7 linked regions of the Macaca fascicularis genome follow. The protein of the gene in region 7 interacts with the protein of the main gene of each other region in a pairwise test. Links are inferred from orthologs where the notes say so. Each region holds a gene or a part of one and is shown on either strand. Other genes may lie near its edges.

Region 1 (4,291 bases), on a different chromosome or scaffold from region 7:
GCCCTTGTGGGCAGGCACACAGCCCACGGCAGCCGGGCAGCCAGTCTCCTCTGCGTCAGAGGCAGGCAGGAGTGTCCTGCCAGCCAGCCCAGGTGTCTCAGCAGCAGCACCGCCGCCTCAGACTCAGCTGCCGCGCAAGCTCCCCATCGGCAGAGACGCCGTTTCGAGGGCGCTGGCTGTGGCTGGGGACTTTCCCCATTACCAGATTCGGAGCAGCCTTCCCTCCTTCCCGCCCCAGAACCAGGTGTGCCCATTTCCCAGCACAGAAAACTCGTTTTTGAGACAGCGTCTTGCTCGTCACCCAGGCTGGAGTGCAGTGGCACCATCACGGCTCACCGCAACCTCCACCTGACAGGCTCAAGCGCTCCTCCCACCGCAGCCCCCGCCCGGAGCTGGGACTCCAGGCGCGCAGCAACACACCCCACTAATTGTTTCAGTAGAGACAGGGTCTCGCCACGCACAAAGAAGTTCTGACACTACAACGCTGTCTACGGGCGCCTTGTTGCGTCCTGCTCCAAAGGCACAAGCAGGTGCCCTCTGGATCACCTGTGGGGTGGAGACAGGCAGTCCTGCGGCAGCCCTCCCTGTAGTTATTTGCTCTTAAGGAATTTACCAACGTCCATGATTAAATATTTGTCAATCACTGTTCCATGCTGGCTCCCTGGCCAGCCTGTAAAGTCTGTGAGGGCAAAGACCACAACTACCTGTCACCACTGAGATCCTGTGACCACAGGAAAGCCTCGCCAGGCCCAGTGACAGTCAGAGGAGGTCAGGGTCCTCCCTGTCCAAGGCCACCAGTCCTGTGCAGGCTCCAGGAGCAGCTAAGTGTGCAGCCAGGTCAGGGCAGCGTTGGCCCCCCCGCCACAGCCACCACTTCGGCCTTCCTGGGGGCCTCCCAGGGCCTGTCCCACGGCTCACAGCGGCTGCGAGGGGCTGCCCTGCAACTCACCCAGGCAGGCAGGCTGTCAGGCAACCAGCCCCTCCTGTCACGGCCAGTGGGGACAGGAAGCGGGAAGCAGCAGGAGCGAGACCCCTGGGAGACAGAGGAGCAAGGCAAGGCTCAGTCTCAGCCCCAGAGCCTTCACCCCACATCCGAGATTTCACTTTATTTGTTCCTCCTGCGGGGGAGGGGAAACCCGGTGGCTTCAGTAGAGAGGAAACCACACCTCTCTCTCCATTTCTGGGCCTGGCACCGCTGTCCTGCCATACCCCACTCTAGCACTCGTTCCTCCTCTGTGACCCCAGCCAGGCGGCTTCTCCCGACTCCCTCCAGCCCCTTCCTGGGTCTCTGCACTGCTTGTTGGGGGCTTGGGCTCCCCTTAGGGGTCAAAGCGTAGCAACAGCCAGGCGGCAACGCACACAGCACAGTAAATCCTCAATGCCTGCAGTCTCTTCCCCTGGGCACGGGGTGGGGAGTCCAGACCCCTCCACCTCCTGCAGCTGCTCCCCTCAAGCTCGTCAAGCGGCTCCGGACTGAGCCGGCTCTGCCCCTTTCCTGCTGAGCCACCACAGGCCTCAGTTTCCCCATCTATCAAGCAGGCGTGGCTCGACTAAATCACCACTTCCCACGTCAGCCTGGGGAAGGGGAACACGGGTTAAAAATGCAGACCACCGCCGGCCGCGGTGGCTCACACCTGTAATCCCAGCGCTTTGGGAAGCTGAGGCAGGAGGATCGCTTGAGCCCAGGGGTTCAAGACCAGCCTGGGCAACACCACCGTGTTCCTAAAAATAATATTAAAAATACAGACTGCTGAGCCCATTCCACACCGACTGACTCCGAAACCCTGGAAAAGGGGCCTGGAAATAGCACGTCCGACCAGCACAGCTCCCACCTCCCCCAAGGTGACATCAGGGCCGCGTGGGGAACCTTGCCCTGAACGAGCAGGAAGTAGCACTCGGAACGCCTAGGCCCAGGGTCCTCCCGGGCGAGGGGTGGCTGTAAACACCTCGAGGAGGAGTGGGCTGCCCGGCCAAGCCCCGGGAGGGGAAGAACGCAGGCTCCGGTCACAAAGCCCCGCCGGGGGGCCGCGCTCGGACCCCGGGACGGTGCCTGGAGCCTCCCGGGCCTGGGCCTGCCTCCAAGGCGGCGGCCAGGGCTCCACAAGGCGAACCTGCAGCGAGGCGCCGGCGCCCCAGACCACGCGCTCGGCGGGGGTCCCCTGGCGTTATTCTCGGGGTCCGAGCCCCGCCATCCCCTCCTCCAGGCCCCGCCAGGCCTGGCCCCTGCCCTGCGCCGCGCCACCGAGCAATACCCTCTCTCTGCTCGCCAGGCCTCAGTTTCTCCGTTTGCAAAACCAGGCTCACCGGACTCGGAGGTCCCACCTGGGATCCTCGCGGCCTCTCGGGTCGGGAACGCCGCGGATGTGGGGTCACCCAGCCGCGATCCCGCTGCGCCGCTCCGGCCAGGCCCCGCCTCCCGCCCAGGCCTCAGTTTCCCGCATGTGCAGGACGGGGTTCGCGCCCGCACCGCCCGGGTTCCCCGCGGATCCAGCCTGGGCCGGCGCTGCCCCGAGCCTCAGTTTCCCTATCTTGGCCAGCTCGCGCAAGCGACCCCCACCCCGGCCGCGGCCTCGGCCTTGCCTCAGGCCTGTGGCACAGACCCTGTCGCCCGTCGCCCTGGCCCGGGCCTCACCGGCAGGCGCGGGACGATCTCCACGGAGCAGCAGTGGCAGAAGTACCGTCCGGGCTGCGGCGACGCCTCGGCCATGGCCGCCGCCGCCTACTCCGCGCCGCCCGCCCCCCGCGCGGCGCCCGCCGCCGGCCGTTTGCTGCTCCCTCGCCGGCCGACGCGCCCGCGCACGCTCACGCACGGCACGCACGGCACGCGGGGCGGAGAGCGGACGCGGGAGCGGCGTAGGCTGCGCACTCGGCCGGCCGCGGACAGGGCGACGGTGGCCGCTGAGAGACAAAATAGGCCCGGCCGTTGGGCGGGGCTCCGGGCGGGGGCGGGGTTCCAGCGGGGGTGGGGCTTCCGACGGGGGCGGGGCCAAGTCCAGGCGGCGGAAGAGACGAGGAGCGGGGCCTGCGCGAGATGGAGCCGAGGCCCTCCTAGTCTCCCGAAGCTGCCAGGGTCCTCGTGTCCCTCAGTGCTTCCCTACCTCATCGCCTTCTCCCTTCATGGTGCTTCAGCCCACTGTCCCCACTGTTCCTGGGGCTCGCCAGGCGCCCTCTCCCCGCCCCCTCCCGGTGCAGCGCTCCCCCAACCCCCACGTGGCTTTCTTCCAGGTCTTTGCTCAAATGTCAGCTTACAAGGGCTCCTCTGCTGCCCTCCTGCCCCGTGGCACCGTCAGGTCAGCTGCGCAGCGAAGGGATTGTTGGACCCACAGCAGCGCCTGACACACAGCAGGCATTCCCTCAGCGCTGCGGAATACAGGCAGACGGGGGCTCAGGGCGCTGCCTGGGCCTGGCTGGGACCCGTGGGGTCAGATAGAGGCTGAGGTCCGTGGCTTGTGGCCCTGTTTCCAAGATGCTCCGGAGGCTAACGGCCCAGGAGCCTCCCGGGTGCGGAGAGGGCAGGAAACCTAATCCCCACTTCCAAATTTAATCAGTAGACACGGTATCAACACCCAGCGCAGGCCAGGATCATGTCTGAGGTTCGTTCTGGCCCAATCATGGCATGTATTTGTTTTTTTTTTTTTTTAGACAGAGTCTGACTCTGTCACCCAGGCTGCAGTGCAATGGCACAGCTTCGGCTCACTGCAACCTCCACCTCCTGGGTTCAAGCGATTCTCCCGCCTCAGCCTCCCGAGTAGCTGGGACTAAAGGTGTGTGCCATCACACTGGCTAATTTTTGTATTTTTAGTAGAAACGGGGTTTCACTATATTTAGCCAGGCTGGTCTCGAACTCCTGAATCATGATCCGCCCACCTCGGCCTCCCAAAGTGCTGAGATTACAGGCGTGAGCCACCGCACCCGGCCTCATGCATGTATTTCTTTATTCACTCAACGCTCATTGAGCACCTACTGCATACCAGACCCTATGCTGAAGGCACGCAGAGACCCCCGGCCCCATGAGATTGGACCGGAGTATGGGACTCAGGGGTGACCCCAGCTCTGCCTCGGGAGAGAGAAAGGGCTTCCGAGGGGAAAGGACATTGGAACCAGGGTTTTGAGGGATGAACAGGATTTGATTGGAGTTGGACTTCCTGCAAAATGAGGCATTGGAGCCAGACTGTTGAGGAATTAAGAGTTGGAGCCTGTGCATTGAAGGGTTTTTTTGTTTGTTTGTTTGTTTTGTTGTTGTTTGGTTTTTAGAGATGGAGTCTGGCTCTGTCGCCCAGGCTGGAGTGCA
Region 2 (4,275 bases), on a different chromosome or scaffold from region 7:
TTCAGCTGCCTCTAGTTTTTGAACTTGCAAACAAAGGAGAACTTCTTCTCACAAGATTCATCCTTCCATTTCTTGAATCCTATAGAATAATGAGAAGAGTCAGACAGAGAGGATCAGAAGGAGGGTAGCCCCTCCTCGATCTAGGACTCAGAACAAAAAACAAGAGGAAATATTCCTTTATTTTCCAGATAAAGAGCTCACCTTTCCTCTATCCCAGTTCCCATGTTCATCCCCAGAGAAAAACGGGAGGGAAATAACAACAGATGGATAGATTGTCTGCCTCTCACCTGAGCATGAAGTCAGGCTTGCACAGTAGCCAGCATTAGCACTGCTTGGGGCTCCAATGTCCCAGGATTTGTAGGAGACCAGGGACCCACTGCTCCAGTGCCAGCGGCGGTTCTAGGTGGAGAAGGGTCAGAACAGGGGCCACGGTCACTCAAAAATCAATAGAATAACCAGGCCTGTGTGCACACTCAGAAACAGGCCAAGATATAGCAGAAAGAATAATCATTGTTGTCACCATGAATGTCGTATTATTTCCTCTGCTTTTGCTCCTTCTCTGGAATGTCCAAATTCCTCCTCCTCTTCCAGCAAATAGTAAGTGTTCAGAGTTTGATACAGAGACCCATAAAAGCCCATTACAGAGAGTGGTTCTGATCTTTTTTCCTGAAGCTCAGAACTCTCATATACAACATAACATTGGCTGTAGAGTAGTTGTTGATATATTGTTTAGTTTAACACTTATAGTGTTAAACTAAACACTTACAGTGTTAAACTAAATAATATATCAACAACTACTGTACAGTTTTATACATTTGTATAAAATGTATAACAAATGCCAGCAGTAGATTTCTCCTCCACTACTCTTTTCCTATACAGTCTACAGAGGGACCTCTTCCAAGACAGACAATAGCAAAATAGGGAAGAAGTTGTACATAAAGATGCATTTCCAAAAGTTGACACAATGAGTGTGTGCATGAATTCCCAGGAGCCCAGAAAATTCAGCCTTCAGCTCATGTCTCTAACTACCTACACTGAACTTCACAACTCATACATTATAGGATCTATAAAGAGGTTTCTTTTATTTAGAAAAACAAAAAGATAAAAGTTGGCGCTCGAGGTGCCAGACCTTAAACATCCCTCTTACCTCTCAAAAATGTTTATAAGGAGATAGAGGAGGCTGCAGACTGACCTTTTTGGGGTCATGGAGGCCAATCCAGACATTGCTGTCATCAGTGTTACTCTCCTTAATCAGTGAGGCCACGAAGGCACCCTCTGCCTCGGTGAGCACAGATACCAGGTTGCCTGAATTCATGTTCTGGCAGTAGAGCTGTAGGTGAAGAAAATGGAGCACTCAGTGGAGGAGGAAGGTGTGAAGGATCTACTGAGATCTTCCAGAGGATGTAACAGAAAAAGGACAGCACAGAAATGTCCCTGGTGACGCTGTCACTGACCACCAGTATCTCTGTGCTAGGAATGTGTTAAATAATGGGATAAAGTAGATTGGGAAGTTTTGGACCAGTGGTGGAATAGGGAAGGGATCAATCTTATCTCATTGCAGCCACAGAACACACTGCAAATTAGCAGCTGCCACTACCTTCATGAGCCTCCCTTCCCCTGCTGCTGTCCTCACTCACATCTGCATCAACCCAGGTCTCAGGGTCTTCATTAAGGTAGTAGCAGTAGGAGCGATAGGCATTGGTGCCTTCTGGGCAGCTGATTCGGGCATTAGGCAGCTCTGTCTGGGTCTCCTGGCCTGAGGGAAAAAAAGAGGTAATTAAGAAAGACTCTCAGGGCAAGGAAAAGGCTGGAAGGTGAATTAGGGGCTTTTCAGTTTCCGTTATAAGAACATACTGATACAGTGTGTACTGGAGTGACTCCTTACTTCTGCTCCCTGCATCCTATCTCTTTTTTTTTTTCTAGTTTCCTCTGCTCAATACAAGAGCTTGTAATGAATAGGCTAAAGAAATGTGTCCTCGTTTTCCCTTTTATTTCTGAGGCTCAGGCTTCTGCCTTTAAAGACCCAGTCTTCCACCTTTCTCAAGTTTCTCTTGATTTCCCTGTACATGTTTGCCTTAGCTCTCCATCCTATTAATGACTACATAAAAACATCCAACTGCCATCACATATAGATTCAATTAGATAAACTCAACCACAATGGTCACCTATAAGTGGTCTTATTAAATTCTGTCTCAAACTCATGAATGAAATGAGGATGTTTTTGAATGGGATGAGATCAGCCATAATGATCAACCTCTGATGTTCACTCTGCTTTTTTTCAAGTGAACCCTATGCATGAGGATGGAGGGAAGACTTCAGAGCTGGGGTTGTGGGACGTCTGGGGAAAAAAATCTCACCTTGGCTCAGAGACAGGAACATCAGGCAGGAGATCAGCATGAAGCATGAGTTGGTCTGAGCCATGCTGAGCAGCAGTGAATCTCTTGCTTAAGGAGCAAATCAGCAATCTCTGTAGGAGAACACAGGGAAGAGGGTTTGAAGAAGAGAGCAGAGCCCCTATTATCTTTCTAACATCCTCTCCTCTTGGAATTCCTGTGACCAGGAAGGTCCACTGAGATAGCTACACTCGCAGATATTTCTCTTTTGGTTTGGGGATAACAGAGGCCAAATTACCCAAAATCAGCTTTGGTTTTGCTTAAGCTTCATTACTACCGGGATCTTTTATTCAGAAAATCACCCTGTATCTACCTCAAAATGAAGAGAAAATCCCATGTTAGACATGCTCTTCTCCTGTAATGCCCCCTTACCTGTTGGTAAGTGCCTTGTCCACTTGAGGTGGCTTGTCAGGTCAGACAGAGTAGGAGCTTTATATCAGGGTCTGAGAGAAAACCACATGATATAAACAGTGGGTGGAGCAAGGAGTAAGGGTCAGAAGGCCTACAAAGGGCACTAACAGTAAGAGATTCTGGCATCAGGAATAGCTTATTACTGGCACACATTAGGAGTGGTCACAAATGATATCAACTTACCATAAACAGGTTAGTAAACTGTCCAAGTTGATGTTGGGCTTTGTCCTTCCCCCACAGCATCCACGTGTCCAGTTCCCATGGCCTTTAGCCATCCTAGAAAGAGCAGAAGAGTAGATTTCTTTGTGCTATGTAAATATGGGATGATCCTTTCTTTGGTTTAGATGTGGGTAGGGGTAGGGGAAGAGTCAATTGAGTGCAAATGATTAAGCCCAATTAGCTGGTGGCTTTAAGTCATTTCTCCATTCCCTTTCAGGCTCAGGAAGCTCTCAAACCTACTTCAGAAGGCAAAGTGTATTAGTCCATTTTCACACTGCTATACTGCCAGAGACTGGGTAACTTAAAAAGGAAAGAGGTTTAATTGACTCACTGTTTAATTGACTCACAGACTTTCCTGAGGCTGAGGAGACCTCAGGAAACTTACAGTCATAGAGACGAAGGGGAAGTAAAGCATGTCTTACATGGTGGCAGGTGAGCAAGAGAGAGTGAAGAGGGAAGAACCCTTTATAAAACCATCAGATCTTGTGAGAATGGACTCACTATTGTGAGAACAGCATGGGGGAAACTACTCCTGTGATCCAATTGCCTCCCACTAGGTTCCTCCATCCACGCATGGGGATTATGAGGATTACAATTTGAGATGAGATTTGGGTGGGGACACAGAGCCACACCATATCACAAGGTTTAGTAGTTATGTAAATTTAAACCAGCATTTCCAGCAAGGTTTGAGTATAAGTAGCTAGCAGGCTACAGATGTTCTCAAAGTCCAAGCAGGTGGGAACTACAGGGAGGTGATGCCTAAGTAAGCTCAAAGTAGTGGAATATGAAGTTGTTGGTTTGAAGTCAATCATCTGTTGTTGTGAAGTTACAGATAGTGATGGAAATTAAACACTTACTGAAATTCCCATTAAAAATCCATTCAGATTCAGGGAGCAACAGCAAATCTGGAATTTAAAATTCAGTTGAAAAACTAACCAAAATGTTCACAGAAATAGAGATGGCTATATCAATCGGGATAAATGACTAAATAATATATTTTGAAATACTAACAGGAGTTAAATTAAATAAGTTAATATCTTTATATAAACATGAGCTCATTTCAAAAGCATATATAAACTTAAAAAGGATTTTAAAAGTCAGTTGCAAAAATTTACAAACTAATAATATTTATACGTGCTTTAAAGGGCTAATTCCTTTTTTTTTAATTTATTTATTATTATTGTACTTTAAGTTGTAGGGTACATGTGCATAACGTGCAGGTTTGTTACATATGTATACTTGTGCCATGTTG
Region 3 (4,031 bases), about 5.1 Mb from region 7:
AAAGGAAGAAAGGAAGGAAGAAAGAAAGAAAGAAAGAAAGAAAGAAAGAAAGAGAAAGAAAGAAAAAGAGAGAGAGAGAAAGAAAGAAAGCAAGCAAGCAAGCAAGCAGGCAGGAAAGAAAAAGAAAGAAAGAAAGAAAGAAAGAAAGAAAGAAAGAAAGAAAGAAAGAAAGAAAGAAAGAAAGAAAGAAAGAAAGAAAAGAAAGAAAGAAAGAAAGAAAGAAAGAAAGAAAGAAAGAAAGAAAGAAAGAAAGAAAGAAATAAAGAAAGAAAGAAAGAAAGAAGCACCTAGGGAGCTTTTTCAAAATATAGATTTTGAAAAATCCCTGCCTCTTGAGACCAACTTAATCCAAATTGAAGTTTCAAGCAAGTGTTTGGCACCGTTCCTCAGATGGGCACTCTTGGGGTGCCAGCCAAAGGGGGACACACTGGTGTGTTTGAAATGGACATTCTTGGTCTCAATACATCATAGGCACAAGGAGGAGGAGCCCGCCTAGGGCTTCATCAAGGAGCTGGATATTCCCTGGCTCCCGGGAGCTCAAGACAGGACTAGGATCTAGGCAGGTACCCTCTCCTCTTCTACCACCCATCCTTCTCTTATGGCTCTTATAGGCCTCTCCTCGCCCATCAAAATCTGCTCTCATGCTCATTGTCATAATAACTTTCAGCCCAAAGAAAACAGAAACGTAAACCCGTGTTTTACAAACAACTGAAAATAGCCTCCTTTATTGGCTTTGCTGCCTTAGACTTCAGCCATATTTTAATTTCCAGTAAGAGCTCAGTAAATACTGTTGAATCTAAGGAGTGCTCCTTTGAAGGGGTGGTAATGGCATAGGGGTTATTCTCGGAGTAGCCGCGGCGGTTCGCGCCGGCCAGCCCCACTCCGCGGGAAAGCCGGTGTGCTATTACCGCCAGGGCCGGGAGGGGGCGCCGGCCTCCAGGAAATCACGCGCGGGGTGGGAGGTGCGTGGGCAGAGCCTCGGACTGCGGGAGGGAGTAGTGATGAGTCAGTTTCCTGCAAGGCGCTGCTCGCCCGCCAAAACTCTGCTTCCACTCCGGCTGCGCGTCACCCTGGGGTGGGGAGGGGGAGCATGGGAGGGGACAGCGGGGGGGCGCCGCGAACACGTCACGCTGAGCCGGCCAGGCTTCCGAAACTCCCGCCGCTGTTGGGAAACCGCGCGCTCTTGTGCCGTCTCTGACACACACACACACACACACGCACACACGCGCGCGCGCGCACACACACACACGCGCCGGGAGCCGACCCCTCCACCTTATCTCCACGCCCAAAGCATGGGATGAGTCAGATCCCTGGAAAATAAAAATAGACGGGAGCAACGAAAACAAAACCGCTCGCAAGTCCTCCCAGAAACGCGACGTGGAGGGAGGGAAGGAGAGGGGAAGCTGCCTGGGCGCCCCAAGTTCCAAACCCAGCTCCAAGATGCTTTTCCGCACGAAGAGGGCGCAAGTGTCCCCCAGGGGTTCTGGACCGAGAGGATGCGCTGTGATCCGCGCCAAGTGGCGGCGCCCCAGGGGGCGACTCGCCCCCCTGCTCCGCTCAGCCCTGTCGCTTTCCGAGAGGGAATCTGGGCTAGGTCGGGGCGCCACCGAGGCAGCTGATGGAGGCCCTGAGCAGCGTCGTGCCCCCCAGAATCCCCACCCCGCAAAGACCTGACCCCTTACCACCTCCCACCCAGGCGTGGGCTCTGCTCTCGCCCCGGAGTCCAGCGCCCCGACCCGAGGGCAGGCTGGGCCGTGATTCTCCCGGCCGCGGTGGGAAAGAGTTAGAGGAGACCCTTGCCCTTCCCCGACTGACAGGCTGGTTGGAGCCCGCCCAGCGCAGAGTCGTGACTCCCCGACCCCTAGCGAAGCGGGGACCCGACGCGGTGTCCTGGACCTCCGGTGCCCTGCTTCCCTGGGAACAAGCTGTTCCAGCCAAATAGGTCACTGTGCCGATGGGAGGACGGAGACCGCGGCGGGGCAGGGGAGAGGGCTTCGGGAGTCCCATTGTACCCCTTCCCGGGCGGGGTTCTGACCTCATACAGTCCGTTCCCTGGGGTCTCCTTGTCACAGTGAGTCACCTCCTCGTTTGTCCTTAGGGGACGTGTCCTGGCACACTCCCAAGGGCCGGGAAACAGCCCGCGCTGACCTCAGTGCCCAGCCAGGTGGTGGACACAGTGGCGTAGAGGACCTGAACCTGGGACCTGGGCCAGGGCGGCGCCAGTTGGATCCGAGAGCCGCCTAGGACCGATCCTAGACGAATTTACTCCACTCCGCTTTCCTCGCCCCTCCTGGGCCCCTCCAGGGACACGGACTTCATCCCCAGGCCGCGAGCAAACTGCGCCTGGGGCCTGCAGCCAACCGCAGCCAAAGGCGAGCTCTCAGAGCAGTCCGGTCCACGCCCTCCCTCGCCCCAGCTGGGTTTCCAGGGGCGGGGATCGTGACCGGGGATCCCTGTACTGGTAATCCCGCTCTCTGCCCCGGGTCTCCGGCACATCCCGACCCCCGTCACCCGCGCACTTACAGATACCGTGTGCGCAAGCCGAGCGCGCACCGATCCACGCCCGTCATTCACCTGCCACAGAAACACCTGTGAACGCAGCGCACACCCGCGAACACGCATCCTCGCGGACACGCACGGACACACGCGGGCACGCTCGGCTCGGCTCTGGGCCGCCGGCCCGGGGTCCCCTGTTGTCTGCCGCCGCTCTCTCACCTCCTCTGAGTGCCTCGGTGCCTCGGCGAATCCGCGCCCAGCTCTGGCCCCACAAGGAACTGACTTCGGCAGCTGCTCACACCTCAGCTGGCGCAGCTCAGCGCGGCCCTGATATACCACCGCCCCGCCCGGGCCCGCCTCAAGGAGGCGGGACCCGCGCTCGGCCCACCGCGCCGCCCGGGACCGCCCTCCCCGGGGCCCAGGCTCCTGGCTGCCCAGCGCCGAGCCAGCTGAGCCTGGCCGAGTTCCAGCAGGCCAGCCGGTCCGGAACCTCGCGTGCTGCAGGAGGGCACTTCCCTCCTCCCCCAGTCCCTCGCCTGCGTTGGTGCGCTGGACATATTTCCCCACGAAGTGAGCCACAAATCTGGCTTTTTTTACTTGGAGAATGAGTTGGCACTCCCCAGGAGGACACAGCACTGTTAGAATGAGCCCCCTTTCTGGCCCACCGTTGATCCACTCTGGGGGTCGGGGAGTCCGACCTGGCAGGCAAGGATTTACCCAATGCAGCTGAAAAGATCAGGAGGATGACATTAATAAATAAAAATTCATAAATAATAAAAACGATGCACCTCTCTGCAATTTCCAGAAAAGTTCTATAATATCACCTCTATTCCCACTGATCCCTCACTAGGTCACCTCTCCCAGAAGCATCTGGAGCACCTAGACACCCCAACAAAGCATCTTGAGGCCGGAATGCTTTTCCAGTCTCGTTTATTTCACAGATGAGGAAATTGAGGTCCACTGAACTTAAGTATACAAAGTTGTTGATTGTCACATGCTTCCAGGAAGGAGGCAATTGGAGACACTACCAGAAAAGGGCAACCTGATCTCCAGGGAAACCGAAGAATTGGACATTGAACCAATCTCTGTACACCCTACACTCACCTCAACAGACGAAACCCCTGTGGTTGCAGCAGCTTTGTTGGCCAGGAAGGGGAGGATTTGACGAGTGAGTTGTCTGTCTCCTGAATACTCCCCACACAGCCCCTGTACGCTTCTGGGGAAACTGGGGCTCAGAGAAGTCTAGTGACCTAACTCAGATCATGCAGCAAAGAAATGACTATAGTTGGAACACAGGCCTTTTGCCTCCTGCCCAGGACTCTCTGCTTGTCATCCTTTATTTCTGTGGCTCCAGAATGACAAAAATGCCAAATAACCCTCATTTGCAGATGGTTTATGGAGATGACATAAATAAAGGACAACTCTGGAAGTGTCTACTGGTGCTTCTGACAGACACAGAGATGAATGACAAGTCTATCCGCTCCCATCTACCGCACACCCCTGCCCTCCCTTGGACTTCACCTTTGCCTCCTTTC
Region 4 (4,205 bases), on a different chromosome or scaffold from region 7:
TTGGTTTCTAGATTAATGACATTTTTAGCACAGATCAAAAAAGAATGTATATATACACATATGTATACATATATATGTGTATATATGTATATATATATGTATATGTATGTGTGTGTGTGTGTGTATATATATCTCCTAATAAGTAATGAGAACAAGTTTATTTCATTTTCTAAAATAGAGCCATGGATAACCCACAGGTCATGGGTGAATGTGGCTCTTGATTTGATTGTACCAGACCTCCAGAAAATGTTCTAAAATTCAGTGCATGTTCTCTTCTGCTAGTAAAAGTCTAAAAGCCAATTTTGTGTGCATATGGGAGATCCAAAGATGAAAACAAAGGTAGTCATAGAATTATAGATTATTTCAGCCAGAAGGTCCAAATAAATTACCTAACCTCAACTTTTCTTTTTACAGTGAGGAATCTGAGGCCCAGAGAGATTAAGAAGCTTCACAAGTGACGTTACTTGTGCCAAATCACAAGGTCATTTAGTTGCAGAACTGGGACAGGAATTCATGTCCCGTTCTCTTTTCAAACCCTGTGGAAAAAAGAAGCACCTTCAATTTTGCCTTTCATTCGTCATCAGCACTAACAGAGGTAAAGTAAAAGGGAGTATTAACAGATGTTCAGCAAAACGGAGGTGGTAAATTCAGAGCAGATGTTTTGACAATGAAGTAAAGAAGAAGACCTGAGGACACTGAGAGTCTTACATAATATATAATAATTCATATTCTTATTAATGTATTAATGAGAATATATTGCTCTTATATTCTTAATTGTCACTGAATTATTTTAGGAATTAGCGCTGAGCAAATTATTTAACCTTTCTTTGTCTCAATTTTCTGAGGTTTATTAGAAGGTTGTTTGCCTAACAAACTAACTATAAATATTAAATGAGAGAATATACATTAAGCGCATGAAACAGTGGCTGATATGCTATCTGTATTTTTGACAGTGCATTATTATTATTATCATGTTCACAATTCACACTTGTTAAAACTTCTGTGTTTCTCTATATGATGTATCCATTTAAAGTCATTTAGTTTCCACAGACTCTAATTTATGTATCTTCACAAATATTGTATTACTTTTTCAAAGCTATAGCATGTGATTTAAACATTTCTGGGAGTGGTGTAGTGGGATTTGCTGAAATTAATCAAGTTAAATCTGGAATACATTGACTTCAGTATGCACTATTTGCAAAGAAAAATTCTTACAATTCACTTCACTATCACCAACTTCTTTTCTGTATAAAATTGTCTTTATTTAAAATGAAGCAAATACAGTCTTGTAAATAGTATTTTCAGGAAAGCAAATTTATAAATACAGTTACCCTGTGACAAGAAAAATATACTGAAATTATAGTTGTAGCAACTAAATTCCCAAATCAAAAATCTATATTTAAAACACAGTATCTCAGAGTAATCCAAAAGCTGAAAATTAAAACAACTACAGAAACTGAGAGGATGAGATAGCTAAGGAGATGAGCAACAACTTTTTTTTTTTTTTTTTTTTTTTTTTTTTGAGATGGAGTCTGTTGTGTTGCCTGGCTGGAGTGCAGTGGCACGATCTCAGCTCACTGCAACTTCTACCTCCTGGTTTGAAGCACTTCTTCAGCCTCAGTCTCTTGAGTAGCTGAGACTATAGGCACATGCCACCATGCCCTGCAAATTTTTGCATTTCTAGTAGAGATGAGGTTTCACCACATTGGCCAACCTGGTCTCGAATTCCTGACCTCAAGTGATCCACCGCATCAGCCTCCCAAAGTGTCGAGATTACAGGTGTGAGCCACCATGCCAGCCAAGCAACAATTCTTTCAAATGGGATGCCAGCACAAAAGCACAATATCCCAGTAAGAGGGATAGACACTATCCCAGACAGACCATGAGGAGACTCCAACAAAACAACCAGCATTCACAAGCACAAAGACCTCTGATGATTTAAATCCTTTTTTTTTTTCCTACTTTCCTTTTAAAACTACTAACAACCTCTTAAAATGAAGAAATTAATGTTTTTTCTTGGTCTTGTTACAGATAAGGTGCATTTTTTTAAAAAGAAATGTTGGAGACAACCTACTGAAGAAAGGCTAAATAAGTAACGGTATTTCTAATAAGATACAGTAATTAAAATTGTATTTTGAATCAGTTCCATTACATGGGAAAATGATCACAACATAGTGATAGTGAAATAATATGTATGTATATAGATGTATATTTTATGACTAAGTACATACACACACATATGCACGCCCAATATAATCTCAAGTAATTAAAACTGGCTAAAACAAACCAGAAGAAAATGTACAAATATATACTTAATTTTACATTTACACAGATGTCAATTTCTCAATAATTTTTGTAACTTTTTAGAGGAAATAATTCTAAACAAATGAAAATTATATTTACAATTCTCCATTTTATTACAATTTTCTACTTTTCATTACATTTTCACTTATTAAAATTTTTTTATCCTGAACTTCTAATATTAAAAAATGAATGTGTCCTTATCTTATCCAGTATAAGTAAGGAGATGTAAGGGTCTCACCAGCTGAGGTTTCCTGTTGTTTTAAAGTTTGTCTTATCTGCTGCTCTGCTTTTCCTTTGGCTCCCAGTTGTACCATCTCAAGAACCAAAGTTATTCCAAGGGGTGAAAATATAATGTTGTTCTTATGAGATAAGGAAAGCTCTTGATAAAGATCCACTGCAAATTCGGTATTTTTTTTAGCTGAGCGTCTTGAGGCTTGACTTCCAAAAAACAGCAATAGGAGACTCCACAACAAGATTGTGTCCATTTTGATTCCTCTGTATCGTTTAAATCAAAATGTATTCATTTTCAAAATAGAGTTTTCCATAGAGAGCTCAACAGAAAACTTTCTACCTATTGTAGCTTTCTATCTTAATAGAACTTACTAGCACGAGTGAACTCTATACAATTAGATTTCTAAGTATCATCTGTTTAGAAAAAATGGTTCAAGTGCTAATGGTATTTCTTATATATCTTCAAGAACCAGTAGAAAATTTACTTGTAGCTTTGTAACAAAAACCAAAAAATACACTGCAGTGTCGGAATGTTATCAATGGCAATGGAATCTCCAAATAGTTATACAATAGTTTTTTCTATCTTTTCTCATGCTTTTTAAGTGGGATAACTGTAACTCTGACATCAGGTAAACCTTCTGTGCAGTCTACTCTACAGTAATTTATACATCACGAGGAGAAATGGAATAAAGACAGACTTACTCCCGTGTGATTTTAGACCTATAATATTAGAAAATTAATGTATTCTAAAATAACTGAGTAATCGGGCTAACTTTTTACAATTTTCCTCACTCTTTATTTCTTAGGACAAAATAACCCAAAGCCCTCTTCCTGCTTTTCCAAAAGAAGAAAAATGCAATGCAGAAAACCTGCAAAGTTTGAGACAAAATGGCAATCAAATATAAATGATACAATAAAGTACAATGCTCACTACCTGGGTGATGAGATCATTTATACCTTAGTGTCAGGCCATATACCCATGTAGCAAACCTGCACATGTACCTTTTAATCTGTAATAAAAGTTGAAATTGTAAAAGAAAAAATATAAATAAATGAAATATAATATCAAAGAATTGACAAAAATACTAACATAAGAGTAGCAGCAATTGAAAACCATAAACAATTCACAAGATTAATAATACCCTATTAAAGTGCTCTCCACTAAAATTGCAGGAAATTCAACCATTTGATTATACCTCAAGCAGAATTAGTTTTGCAATATTACCACATATTTGGTAGAATGCTGACTCCAAGGCCTCATAAATTTTAGTAACAATAATTTTACCTTATAAATAACACATGTTAGTAACCCTTAAAAACGTATCCATCAGTAAGTTACCAGAACGTAACCATTAATTAGTGGTAAAGATGAAAGTCTTCAGAATAGTGTGTTGTCAGCCTTAAGTAGAGACTTACATTTCTAGAGTGTTTTGCAGATCATTAAGGGGGCCACCATGACCCACAAATGGGTAGGAGTCACTAAGAACAACTGTATTTATATATAAAGATTACTAATAGTCAAATTTTCTTCCAAACTAAACTATGGAGTTATTATTTAGATATTTCAAATTATCTTTCAATGTATTTTGTTAAACTGTATTTGTTTAGACATACATTTGCAAAAGACAAAAATCTCAAAAAACAATCCAAGGCAATTGTTAGAAAATGTG
Region 5 (4,098 bases), on a different chromosome or scaffold from region 7:
CCGGCTACTCGGGAGGCTGAGGCAGGAGAATGGCGTGAACCCAGGAGGTGGAGTTTATAGTGAGCTGAGATTGCGCCACTGCACTCCAGCCTGGGCGACAGAGTGACAGAGCGAGACTCTGTCCCAGAAAAAAAAAAGAAGATGCAGAAACAATGGGACTAGATGCGTTCAGAGTTTTTCTCTTCACTTTTTCATATCTATCTATCTATTCTCATGACACATGTAATACAGGCTTGGAGAGAATGGATTTATAAATTAAATTTATAATTTTTAAAACCTAATGTGAAAAAAATAAAGGTAAGCAAAATGAATAGACTAAAAACCACCCAGTAATCCTAACACTCACAGATAACCAGTGTGTATTTTCAGGCATATATCCTTAGAGACTTCCCCAATTTTTTACTAGCTTTAAGTTTCTGGGATTCTAGAAGGCTGGGCCTTGAGCCTTCTAGATTTCTTAAATTGTTATGACTCCACGTGCCTTCTAAAATGCATCTTTGCCATGTTTTCATTTATTAAAAAGGCACTAATTCTTGCCTGAAATAGTATGACCTCTATCTTCTCTGGAGATGTTAATTTTTCTGCTTTATTATTAGGAGTCAACATCTGTGTTTTCAAATCAGTTGGAAAACAGACACACACACCCCCACACACAAACACACACAGAATACTTCTTTTAATGTCTTCATTAAGAAATCTAATTGCAGTGACCCCCAAGGCAACTCTTATTTTGGCCTTTATTCTGTTCAACTGGAATTGAACTCTGTGTGCCTTTTTGTCCAAGCTGCTGGGGACAATGCCCATTTGTTGTTTGGTTGGCACGGTTTCATCTGTTGTGGAGGGGTAGGTACATCTTTAGTGCTGGTCAAATAATTATAATAAAGAGTTTGGTTGGTCTTATGTTTGGTTGGAAAATGTGATCTAACATCAGCTGACAATCACAATAGATACAAACAGCACACATAGACTTTCTTTTCACAATGGGCTTCTCAGCTAATATCTCAGACGATATTGTGAATATTATGGTCATACAAACAGTTCTGACTAATATCTGATGTGAATTTTAAACTTAGCAATCCACTAAATAAAGCAAAAGCTGGAATTTTCTGCTTTTAGATCAATATGTGGACTAATGGAAAAAAAGTCACACAGCTTCGTATAACTCTATCTTACATGCTATACTGGCCTAGACATTATTATATTTAAAATATCTGGGTTGGTTTTACAAACTTATATTTATTAAAAACTATACTGTGCTTGGTACTGGCCTAGATTCATAGCAGGCAGTCAATAAATACTTGTAAACCAATAGATTTGACTGAGAAGATAAGTAATCTTGCAGCAAATATGTTTGTTGCGCCTCTCGCTGTAATTGAGTAAATGATTTCACTATGTAATAAACCTAAAAGATGCTTACCTGCTTTTCCTCAGAACTTCCAGAATCAGCCTGTTTAACCTTTGAAACAGAAAAGATGAAGAAAGATTACAAGAATGTCCTCCTAGCACATAGAAGCACATAATTCAGTTATTTTCAGGAATTTTCTTTAAGATTCAGTTGTACTCACTGGCAGGGCATAGGCGATGCCTAAGAGGCAAAAGGAAATCACTGCAATTCTCATGGTAGTGAGTTTTCCTGCAAAACATTTCATAAGGAATAGCTGACATCCTCATAGGTTAAAACAATGGTACCTTTTTGTACTACCACATTACAAAATAATCACAAATAAAATATATTTTCTGTAAAATCTTTTCTACTTCTTAGAGAAGCCTTTTCTTTTTAGTATTATGGTCTTTCAAGTTAATATTTATATTGCCACCTATTCTCCATCTTTATTAGGTAAGGGAAAGGGAAATTTTACAAGTCTGTATTTATTCAACTTTTAAATTTAGAGTTCCAGAAATTGTACGATTACTACCTTATATATCTAGCTCTACTAAACCTACAAACAGATCAACAGTAACTTAATTCTATTAATAAGCTAGTATGGGAATGCTTTTTAGAGAAGAAAAAGCACAGATAAAAAAATGAAAAAAATTTGCTTTATTCGTTTTTCCAATATGTACTTTAAATGTGATTTTTAGCTTAAATTATTAAGTAGATGCTACTTAGGTGAAATGAAACTATCTCTGAAATTTGTTATTTAAGTAAGATGTTCTAAAAATTTGAAATGCAAAGGAAAACATTGAAAATAGCCAACAACTTTTCTATTTGTAATAATAAGCCTACATAGTGTCATGCAGGTATCTTGGTGAATATTTTAACAGCTAAATTTAGCAGTAACATATTCAGAAAGAGTTTTCTTCCCCTTGAAAATAAGATACATCATTTAAAAAATAGCATTGTAATTGGCTTAATTAGTGTAAAAGATCCCTTTTCTTTTACATTCCTGCAGTCACCCGTTGAAAATGATATAGGTATAATTATTCCAAAGGGGAATTGAATTTTACTATTTTCTGATTAGCCGCAGTAGTTTCCGTTCTTTTGAGGACCCAGTGGAAGTATTTTTAAGTTTTATATTTGATTGGCATTCCAAATATCTAGACACCTTTGTTCCAGGAGACCTGCAATGTATCTAATCTGCTTATTAAAAAGGCTAGAAAATTTAAATCTGTTTAACAGCATTACAATTAAAAATATTTTTCCTTAGAACTTGAACTTCCCCATGAAATTGAGCTGAATGCACAACCCAGTAGCAAACTGAAGGCATACCTTGGCCGGCGTTTGGCTGAGAAGGCTGCAACTGGCCTGACAGGAGTCCGGTCTCAGACGATGCTGTGCTCTCTGCCTCCTCCTCCCGCTGCTGACAGCCAAGCCCTCCCAGAATTTAAATGCTGCTGCAGACATCCTCCACCAACACAGGGAGGCGGAGAGATGTGTCATGAGGTTTTCTGCCACTGCCCAGCCCACCTGCTCCCACACTTCCCCCTCTGGTTTTGTGGTTAAAACAAAAAAACAAAAACGCACACACACACATCTACAGTTAAAACATTACTTATGTACAGTATCATTAACTAGCTTTTTCATTTACAGGATGGGCATTCAGCATCCAGGAAGAGCACTTAGGGATCCCATGGAAAAGGGAGAAAGTAGGGAAAAACATTAATGTAAGATTAAATAGAAAGGAGTTTTGTTTCTTTCAGTTTAAGTAACATAAAAGTAATATCTGCAACCACTCTTGCCTATATGATTATACTTATTGAAGAACTATATTTCTAGAAGGCTATTGTTCAAGCCTGCAAAGAGTTCAGAAAACCTGCCTCTGTCCTTTACTACTCAAGCTTAGCTTTGTGATTTCAAGTATGCAGTGGCTTGTTACTTAGACAAAAGACACTAGTGACATTAAAATATAAAATTCTATATAAAAGAGAAGAATGGTATCTTATTCTAGATGTTGCAGAAGTAAAGCAGTTTCTGACTGAGAGCAGGATGACTGCCTGAGAGGGCCGCTTCAGGAGCCAGACTGTGGCTCTGAATTCCGCTGTGTCACTGCTGACCTGTGCAACCTTGGGCAAATCGCCCAGCCTACCTATCCTTGTTTCCTCATCCATAAAATGCAGATACTATTACCTAGGTCATGGGATTTTTGAGAGGTTTAAATGAATTAGTATGTTAAACTAACAATGCTTAGCACATATTAGATACAAATGCCCTGCGTATCTTAAGGAGTGTATGTGTGTTAACTAGTATGAAATTTTTAAGAGGGGCAGGCAGTCACGAATTGTAATGTCTTTAAAAAGAATAGGTTATTAAAATGAGAGTAGATGTAAGATCTTTAAATGGTATGCATCAATAAGGAAATTTTGCGCATTTCTAAAGGAACAGATTCGATTTTGGAATCATCTTTTTTTCTAGTTTTTCTCCCAGGGTATGTAAATTAGGCTACTTAAAAAGAAAAAGATTTTTAAAAATTTCTGGATTAAAAAACACTTTACTAGGTATTTAAAACGTATTTGAATAAAAGAAAATTACAGGGGAAGTCTGAATATTCAGGGATAGCAGAGCTCTGGGTCCTTTTAAAATATTTAACATTGTCTTGAGATTACTTCATCTGCTTTCTCAGTTGTGAAATGCAGATTGCACTATTTATTTACCTTACA
Region 6 (4,196 bases), on a different chromosome or scaffold from region 7:
ATTTTACATTTAAATTTGATAAATGTCAAAACAATTTTGAACTTACTTTTGTGAGAGATCTGGCCATGTCCTAGAAGAAAGATAAAATTAGCAAACACATATACATTTGTTTTTAAAGATGCTACATTATATCTTTTATAAAATAATTTGATTATCAAAATATGTAACATTTTCTATCTATATATTATCCTGAGGAATAAGGCAGAACCATAAATGCTAAACAACTTATTAATAATAAAAACTAAATATTTAAACAAACAAATGGAATTTTTATTAAGTGCCTTCTATGGGATTCAAACCTAGGACTATGAGACTTTTGAGACCTCTTATTGACTATAAGACTGTAGTATTTCCCACCTTCAAGACTGGCCACCCATTGAGAGAGAGAGAGAAAGAGAGAGAGAGTGGCAGAGAGAGACAGAGAGAGAGTGACAGCGAGAGAGTGACAGCAAGGGAGTGACAGAGAGATCGAGAGAGAGTATGCAAATACATCTCTTTATTAAACAGGCATCATCTAGATCTTGTATTTCAGCCCATAAAAGATTTTATTTCACTTTCCTACATGTGCTTTACACAATAGTAAAATAAAGATTTATAGGAATGTTTACCATAAAGAGCCTTTAACAGGGCCACTTGTTTTTCAATTGAGGAATCTGACAAGAGACGAATTGTCATTACATGTTCCACTGACGGTGCGATAAATTCAAGGAAACAATATTTCTATCCCAAGACAAATCTACTCTCATGTCAGGGAATGCTACAAAATCCTGTTCCACATGCACTTGAATCAACCGCAGTACTACCCCTGGAGGCCCGTGTCTTCCCTTTGTCAGTTTGGATCTTTAGTCAAGGGAGCGCTTCACTCGAACACAGTGAGGCATGCGAACCAGATCTTTCCCTCCCCCTGCGGGCCCGTGCGCGCCTTAGTGCGGTGTGGACCAATGTCGCGCCTGGGTTACACCCCTGTTGGAGTGGAAATCTTTATTCAGAGCGAGAGACCCTGGGGTACTCCGAGAAGGAGAGAGCAGACAGGGCGGGCTGCCCAAGACACCTAGGGACGGTCGCCCATCTCACCAGCATCCCGTTTGCCCATTAATCCAAAGAACTGCTGAGGCTTGGGTCTCCGGGCGATTCTCTGCAGAAGATGCTCAAAGGGCTCAGGCAGTTCCTCCTGGGGGGCAAAAGCACGGACAAAGGGCGTGTAAGGCAACCGGAGCGAGGCACCCAGCAACCCGAGCCCTTCCCGCTGTACTCCGGCCCCGAGGCGGGCGGAGGCAGCCTTCCCCACGCTCGGGCTGAGCGGGGTACCTCCCGAGGCGCTCCCTCTCTGCGCCCCTCCTCGCCGAACCCGCGTCCCGTCCCCCGCAAGCCTGCCAGGGCGAGTTAGCAGCTGGCTCGGCGTCTTCAAGCCTCGAGCGCTTTCCGTTCTTTCCTCCCAGCCCGGGGACCTTCCCTCATCTGCCGCGCCGCCACCTGACTTTGTCTTGTCTCGGTGTCGGCTTTGTAGACTCCTCACCACCCTAAATGCACACAGGTGTGTGTGATCTGGGGCTGGGGCTGCGGTGGGAAAGGGTGACAACGTTTTATAGACGACTTTCACCCTTTTCCCGAGGCGCGCTCCCCAGCGCCAGTAGCCTACGAGTTTCTAAAGGGAAACTTCAAGCTACATCCTCAGGTCCGCAAAACAAACGTGAAGGCAGGAAATTAACTTCCCTCCAGCCTCCGGCCCTCCAATCCCCCTGCAGCTCACGCGTGTGCCCGCTGCTGCCCGCGACCAAGGCGCCCTCTGCCCGTGCCCAGACGCTAGGGCAGTGCAGCTGGACCGGAGCCCCCGAAATCCCCATTCCTGAGGGATGAAAGCTTACGAGATTTATGATCTTGTGGGGATCTCGGGCTCATCCGGGAGGGCATCCCTGCTGCAGGGAGTTCCTGGGCTGGACGGTGCAGCCCTCGGGAAGAAACTTGAATCGTGGGCCAAAATCCCGTGAGGAACCCGGGAAATAGCGCCCCTTTCCATCCTCCCGCACGCATCCGCTGCCTCTCGTCGTGGTCGCGGTGCCTGCCACGTTAACTAGGGTGCTGCTGCGTGGGAAGGTGACAGCTCCCGAGCCCAGGAAGAAGGGTGCGGGCTGTCCTGGGAAGGGGCCTCACCTTGATCTGGTCGCTGTCGGACCAGTCGGACCAGTAATTCAGATCGTCATTGGCTCCTATTTCTTCTGCAAACAGCTGAGTGGTGACGAGAAAAAAGACTGCCAAGGCCACGAGGATTTTCATGTTGAATTTCTGGGAAGGGGTAGTGGGAGAAGAGACCAAAGAGAGAAATAATATATCTATTAGGGGTGGTTATCCAAGAGTTAGAGCAACAGAATTTTCAGCCCCACAACGGATGAACTAAGATAAAAAATACAAGGACTAAAGTCTCACCTGCACCCGTTAGGCGAGAGAATCGCGTCCCAAAGATTCTCCAACCCTCTTCTCCCTGAATCCCAACTCCCTCAGCCCTCTAACCCACCAACCCACACCTTCAAACCAGGAAACTCTGCAGGTGGAAGACAAAGAGGGGCGTTGGCGTTTGGGAAGCCAGTCTCCCCACTGTCCCTCGCCGCAGCGGCGCACCCAGCGCGGCCACCTCGGACAGATGCGGGGTGGAGTGACCCGGGCAGCCGCGGCCGGCACTGCGCGGGTACTTACTGCGACTGACAGTCCCGCGGGGTGCTGGGTTCCTCTGGTTCCTCCGAGTGCACGCTGGTCGCTCCGCACTCTCGGTGGCTGCGGGAAGGAGGAGGTCCGAGCGCGCTCTTTCGCCTGCTGAGTGCCTTGCGGTATTTATCCCAGCCTCCTCGAGCCTCCAAACCCACGTGACATTCTCCCCACGCGACTTTCTGCTCAATATTTAATTAGCCGCCTCCTCTCCTTTCGCTTGCGTGATTGAGAGTTTCCGAGACGGTAACTCGTCGATGCCCATAACATCTGGACCCAATTGGGTTCTAAATGACGCAATTTTAGGAAAATCGAGGTCTCGCCATCCAATCGGGAGCGGCCTGCTTCCGTCTGCAGATCTGACGCCCCCTCCCCTCTCCTTTGAAACTGGGTTTCATGACACCTGAGATTACTCATCAAATTTGAGCAAAGTGACTCATTCCTTGGACTTCGGTAACTTTTCCGTCCCTTGAGACGTCAGGATAAGTTGCACTTTTGAGGATGGCCAAATAACTGTAGGCATTCAGTCATTTCATCGGAAATCAGGCTAAGAAAGGAGGACTTCAGTTGAGGGGAGATGCAGGGAGGCATTCTTTTCCCCTCTATTTCTAGCTTAAGAGTATTTAAGTGTTTCTGAGACACAGCATCTTTCTATGACCAGAACATCCCTCTCCTAAATCAATGAGAATACTGGCATTTCCTTAGCATTACAAAAGGTTGTTTAGTCCCATAGTATTTTAGAAGATGGAAGCACATTTATTTTACATTTTGGAGAAAGGGGAATTTAAACATGACATTGTGTGTCAGACTTAGGATTTCTTTTGTTTCAAGCTGGGTAACTCCTCTTCCTTGTCACATCCAGGAGCAGGGGTTGGAACAGGACTTTTTTTGCTTCTCTCCTACACTTTCTTGCTGAAGACTAGGAAACCAGCAACATAATGTATAGGATCCTCACCCTTGTCACTAAAGGGCTCTATAAATCATGTTTCTCCTTTCTATGAAAATAAGTGTAGTGAAGATGCTAATGGGACAGTCATTAACGCACAAAATATTAGACAAATAGCATTTGTACACAAACCACAGCTTTCCATGAGCCCTTGGTTGCCTGGCAGACACATTTCTTTGATCTCTAAATGAATGCGGCATCTTTGGTGGAGTAGTTTTCTCCCCTTTACATATAAAGTGTTACATTTTTCAGTTAATTATGATTTGTTAGTATATTGTATAAAAGAAACACATTTTTGCAACTTAAACCAGAAATTTTTTCCTCTATGTTGTTCTTAAATAACCCTGGATTTGGAAATTCTCATGCATTTCTGATTTCTTTTGACCTTAGCCTCACAATGTGAGCATTTTATTTTCTGTTTTCAGAACTTTTATATGGAAAATTATCAGCATCTCCAAAAGTAGAGAGGTACATCCACTTCCAGGTTTCATCTACAACCCTTCCAGTTTCCTCTGCACTCAAATTATTTTGAAAAAAAATCCCAGACATT
Region 7 (3,500 bases):
TAGTAGCTGGGATTACAGGCACCCACCACCATGCCTGGCTAATTTTTTTGGATTTTTTAGTAAAAAAGGGATTTCACCGTGTTGGCCAGGCTGGTCTCACACTCCTGACCTCACGTGATCTGCCTGCCTTGGCCTCCCAAAGTGTTGGGATTACAGGCGTGAGCCACCGTGCCCAGCCAAGTTTATTGTCTGTATTTTGACAGCTGTTACTTTAGTTTAAGGGTTTGCACAGTAATTATCTCACAGTCAAGACTAGTGGGTAGTGATTCTGGGGTAGTTTTTACACCTCACCTCCACAAGTTGGTTGTCTGTCTGTGTTCTTCCTTTTTTTTCCATTCTTTCCATTCCTGTGCATGCCTCCTCTTCCTTTCAGATGAATGTAAAAGAGTTTAAGGAGCACATTGCTGCCTCTGTCAGCATCCCGTCTGAAAAACAACGGCTCATTTACCAGGGACGAGTTCTGCAAGATGATAAGAAGCTCCAGGAATACAGTAAGGGGACTGAGGAGGCAGTTCAGAGGTTGGGGCTGCTGTCTGGAGGGATGAACTGAGGCCATGGGTTTACCTGTTCATACTATGTTTCGGTGTGTGTCTATTTTTCTGCAGATGTTGGGGGAAAGGTTATCCACCTGGTGGAACGGGCTCCTCCTCAGACTCAGCTCCCTTCTGGGGCATCTTCTGGGACGGGGTCTGCCTCAGCCACTCATGGTGGGGGACCCTCGCCTGGTACTCGGGGGCCTGGGGCCTCTGTTCATGACCGGAATGCCAACAGCTATGTCATGGTTGGAACCTTCAATCTTCCTGTAAGCTTATGTTCCACAGGGGAGGGGTTTTGTGGATAGCTTTGGTTGTGGTAGCAACAGGGAATAAGATAGATGCTTCCATCTTTAGATTGGGTTCAGGGGGCGCTGTGGTGTGCTATTGGTCTCAGTCTTTAAGGAGAAAAGAGGGCGGGGCTCCAGGGAATGAATTGGAGGTGTGGAGGTCTTAGTGTTGGCTTCTCCCAGAACAACTTCCCTTACCCTTTCCCCAGAGTGACGGCTCTGCTGTGGATGTTCACATCAACATGGAACAGGCCCCGATTCAGGTATTGAGGGGCCTCCGAGGGTCAGGGAAGGGGATCTGGGAGAAGGAGGCTGGGAGGTGGGTTGGACCTGACTGAGAGATGGCTGGGACCTGATTTAGTAGGTGGTAGAACTCATGGCTTCATCTGTAACCTACCCTGATCAACCTTCTCTCGTTGTAGAGTGAGCCCCGGGTACGGCTGGTGATGGCTCAACACATGATCAGGGATATACAGACCTTACTATCCCGGATGGAGGTAAGTGGGCAAGGTTGGCTAGAGTCTCTCCCCACCCTCCCTCCTCCGTTTTCTCTCATCCTGGGGGTTGGGGCTTGACTGGCCACATCCACAGGCTTTGGCCTTCATAATGCAGTCTTCTCTGCAGTATTCATTATTCTGGGCAGAAGAAGTATCTTTGTGAGACGTGCTCATTTCTGCCAATCCTCTGCCATACCTGCCTGGTATCCGGGGAGTTTGTTTCCGACTTGTCTCATGGCATCTCTTTTCAGTTAAAGGATTCCACATTCTTTTTTTTTTTTTTTTTTTTTTTTTTTTTTTTTTTTGAGACGGAGTCTGGCTCTGTTGCCCAGGCTGGAGTGCAGTGGCCGGATCTCAGCTCACTGCAAGCCCCGCCTCCCGGGTTCACGCCATTCTCCTGCCTCAGCCTCCCGAGTAGCTGGGAGTACAGGCGCCCGCCACCTCGCCCGGCTAATTTTTTTTGTATTTTAGTAGAGACGGGGTTTCACCGTGTTAGCCAGGATGGCCTCGATCTCCTGAACTCGTGATTCGCCCGTCTCGGCCTCCCAAAGTGCTGGGATTACAGGCTTGAGCCACCGCGCCCGGCCAGGATTCCACATTCTTAACTTGTGGAGGCTGGGAAACCAACTTATGGAGGACAGGAAACCACAGTCTCTACTCTTTGTTAGAAAGTTATTTACAAATATTACAGATGCTGCGGCCAGGCATGGTGGCTCCTCCCTGTAATCCCAGCACTTTGGGTGGCCATGGCAGGGGGATAACCTGTGGTCAGGAGTTCGAGACCAGCCTGGCCAACATGGTGAAACCCTGTCTCTACTAAAAGTACAGAAATTAGCTGAGCGTGGTGGCACACACCTGTAGTCCTGGCTACTTGGAAGGCTGAGGCAAGAGAATCGCTTGAACCTGGGAGGCGGAGGTTGCAGTGAGCTGAGATTGCGCTACTACACTCCAGCCTGGGCAACAGAGTGAGAGACTGTCTCAAAAAAAAAAAATTACAGATGCTTATTACGCATCTAATTTGTGTCAGTCTTATGCTAGTTGCTAGAGAGTTAGAGATACAATTGCAGAGCCATGCCTTCAGGGAGTCTAGTTAGGATACTTTCTTTGTCCAGTCTCCTGCAGAGTAATCTTCTGCAGCAGTCTTATCCTGCTTTTGGTATTCTGACTCTCCCCTACCTTCAGTGTCGAGGAGGACCCCAACCGCAGCATAGTCAGCCACCCCCGCAGCCACCAGCTGTGACCCAGGAGCCAGTAGCCTTGAGCTCTCAAACATCAGAACCAGTTGAAAGTGAAGCACCTCCTCGGGAGCCCATGGAGGCAGAAGAAGTGGAGGAGCGTGCCCCAGCCCAGAACCCGGAGCTCACTCCTGGTCCAGCCCCAGCGGGCCCAACACCTGCCCCGGAAACAAACGCACCCAAGTGAGAGATGGAGGGAATCTTTAGGGGGTGGGAAATCCTAAGTGAAGTATGGGGAGAAGAAAATGAACCATGGCAAGGGAGGGAAAGGATTACTTGGAGGTCTTAGTTGAAGGTTACCATTGAGGGGCGAGGAGGGGCTCTCTTTGTATAGGTAAATGACGCTAGGACAGGCAGCTGAGAAGAACTGCTCTCCCTACGGCAAGAAAATCCAAATAGTATCTCCTGAGCCTGATGAGAATTCTCTTCTCTGAGTTCACGTAGGCTTGCTCTTTTTCTTAGAATTAGTCTCTCACCATTGTAGGTGCAGGATTGTGGTGGAGAGGGTGGGAAAAGTTCATTTTCTTCTCCCCATCCTCTCATGGGTGGGAGTAAAGAATAGAAGCTTTGGCCGGGCACAGTGGCTCATGCCTGTAATCCCAGCACTTTGGGAGACCGAGGCGGGTAGATCACCTGAGGTCAGGAGTTCAAGACCAGCCTGGCCAACATGGTGAAACCCCATCTCTACTAAAAAATACAAAAATTAGCTGGGTGTGGTGGTAGGCGACTTAATCCTAGCTACTTGGGAGGCAGAGGCAGGAGAATCGTTTGAACCCAGGAGGCGGAGGTTGAAAATAGAAGCTCTGCTGGTCCAGAGAAGGATTGGGCCAGGGCTCTGGGAGACCAGGGAGAAGGAGGGCACATGTGGTCCCTGTTGACTGTGAGGTTGGGAATCTGAGGAAAGTTTTGGCTCACTGCCCCTTGGGTTTGTCCACAGCCATCCTT

The links.
Region 1: the proteins of BAG6 (region 7) and RNF126 interact in binary tests that used the Homo sapiens proteins (3 or more experiments, as listed by UniProt). The link is inferred for Macaca fascicularis from reciprocal best matches to the Homo sapiens genes BAG6 and RNF126.
Region 2: the proteins of BAG6 (region 7) and lithostathine-1-beta interact in a two-hybrid assay, tested with the Homo sapiens proteins (2 studies listed by BioGRID and IntAct). The link is inferred for Macaca fascicularis from reciprocal best matches to the Homo sapiens genes BAG6 and REG1B.
Region 3: the proteins of BAG6 (region 7) and CDKN1A interact in a two-hybrid assay, tested with the Homo sapiens proteins (2 studies listed by BioGRID and IntAct). The link is inferred for Macaca fascicularis from reciprocal best matches to the Homo sapiens genes BAG6 and CDKN1A.
Region 4: the proteins of BAG6 (region 7) and SERPINI2 interact in a two-hybrid assay, tested with the Homo sapiens proteins (2 studies listed by BioGRID and IntAct). The two-hybrid records come from large-scale screens. The link is inferred for Macaca fascicularis from reciprocal best matches to the Homo sapiens genes BAG6 and SERPINI2.
Region 5: the proteins of BAG6 (region 7) and SPP1 interact in binary tests that used the Homo sapiens proteins (3 or more experiments, as listed by UniProt). The link is inferred for Macaca fascicularis from reciprocal best matches to the Homo sapiens genes BAG6 and SPP1.
Region 6: the proteins of BAG6 (region 7) and TAC1 interact in a two-hybrid assay, tested with the Homo sapiens proteins (2 studies listed by BioGRID and IntAct). The link is inferred for Macaca fascicularis from reciprocal best matches to the Homo sapiens genes BAG6 and TAC1.

The regions. Positions count from the first base shown.
Region 1 is NC_088393.1:1,227,364-1,231,654, forward strand, and holds the start of RNF126 (E3 ubiquitin-protein ligase RNF126), read right to left. Parts: upstream 2,801-4,291; 5' UTR 2,708-2,800; coding exon 2,633-2,707; intron 1,840-2,632; exon of another isoform or gene 950-1,839; intron 1-949. UniProt on the Homo sapiens protein: E3 ubiquitin-protein ligase that mediates ubiquitination oF target proteins. Depending on the associated E2 ligase, mediates 'Lys-27'-, 'Lys-29'-, 'Lys-48'- and/or 'Lys-63'-linked polyubiquitination of substrates.
Region 2 is NC_088387.1:42,687,435-42,691,709, reverse strand, and holds the start of lithostathine-1-beta, read right to left. Parts: upstream 2,801-4,275; 5' UTR 2,766-2,800; intron 2,468-2,765; 5' UTR 2,422-2,467; coding exon 2,358-2,421; intron 1,757-2,357; coding exon 1,638-1,756; intron 1,331-1,637; coding exon 1,193-1,330; intron 400-1,192; coding exon 288-399; intron 80-287; coding exon 12-79; 3' UTR 1-11. UniProt on the Homo sapiens protein: Might act as an inhibitor of spontaneous calcium carbonate precipitation. May be associated with neuronal sprouting in brain, and with brain and pancreas regeneration.
Region 3 is NC_088378.1:134,986,958-134,990,988, forward strand, and holds the start of CDKN1A (cyclin-dependent kinase inhibitor 1), read right to left. Parts: upstream 2,801-4,031; 5' UTR 2,575-2,800; exon of another isoform or gene 2,524-2,574; intron 1-2,523. UniProt on the Homo sapiens protein: Plays an important role in controlling cell cycle progression and DNA damage-induced G2 arrest. Involved in p53/TP53 mediated inhibition of cellular proliferation in response to DNA damage.
Region 4 is NC_088376.1:78,850,736-78,854,940, forward strand, and holds the start of SERPINI2 (serpin I2), read right to left. Parts: upstream 2,801-4,205; 5' UTR 2,790-2,800; coding exon 2,543-2,789; intron 1-2,542.
Region 5 is NC_088379.1:93,530,490-93,534,587, reverse strand, and holds the start of SPP1 (osteopontin), read right to left. Parts: upstream 2,801-4,098; 5' UTR 2,711-2,800; intron 1,634-2,710; 5' UTR 1,620-1,633; coding exon 1,566-1,619; intron 1,457-1,565; coding exon 1,418-1,456; intron 1-1,417. UniProt on the Homo sapiens protein: Major non-collagenous bone protein that binds tightly to hydroxyapatite. Appears to form an integral part of the mineralized matrix. Probably important to cell-matrix interaction.
Region 6 is NC_088377.1:123,598,303-123,602,498, forward strand, and holds the start of TAC1 (protachykinin-1), read right to left. Parts: upstream 2,801-4,196; 5' UTR 2,692-2,800; intron 2,284-2,691; 5' UTR 2,275-2,283; coding exon 2,152-2,274; intron 1,172-2,151; coding exon 1,075-1,171; intron 654-1,074; coding exon 609-653; intron 71-608; coding exon 47-70; intron 1-46. UniProt on the Homo sapiens protein: Tachykinins are active peptides which excite neurons, evoke behavioral responses, are potent vasodilators and secretagogues, and contract (directly or indirectly) many smooth muscles.
Region 7 is NC_088378.1:140,074,943-140,078,442, forward strand, and holds part of BAG6 (large proline-rich protein BAG6), read left to right. Parts: intron 1-373; coding exon 374-491; intron 492-605; coding exon 606-802; intron 803-1,032; coding exon 1,033-1,086; intron 1,087-1,245; coding exon 1,246-1,320; intron 1,321-2,502; coding exon 2,503-2,738; intron 2,739-3,492; coding exon 3,493-3,500. UniProt on the Homo sapiens protein: ATP-independent molecular chaperone preventing the aggregation of misfolded and hydrophobic patches-containing proteins.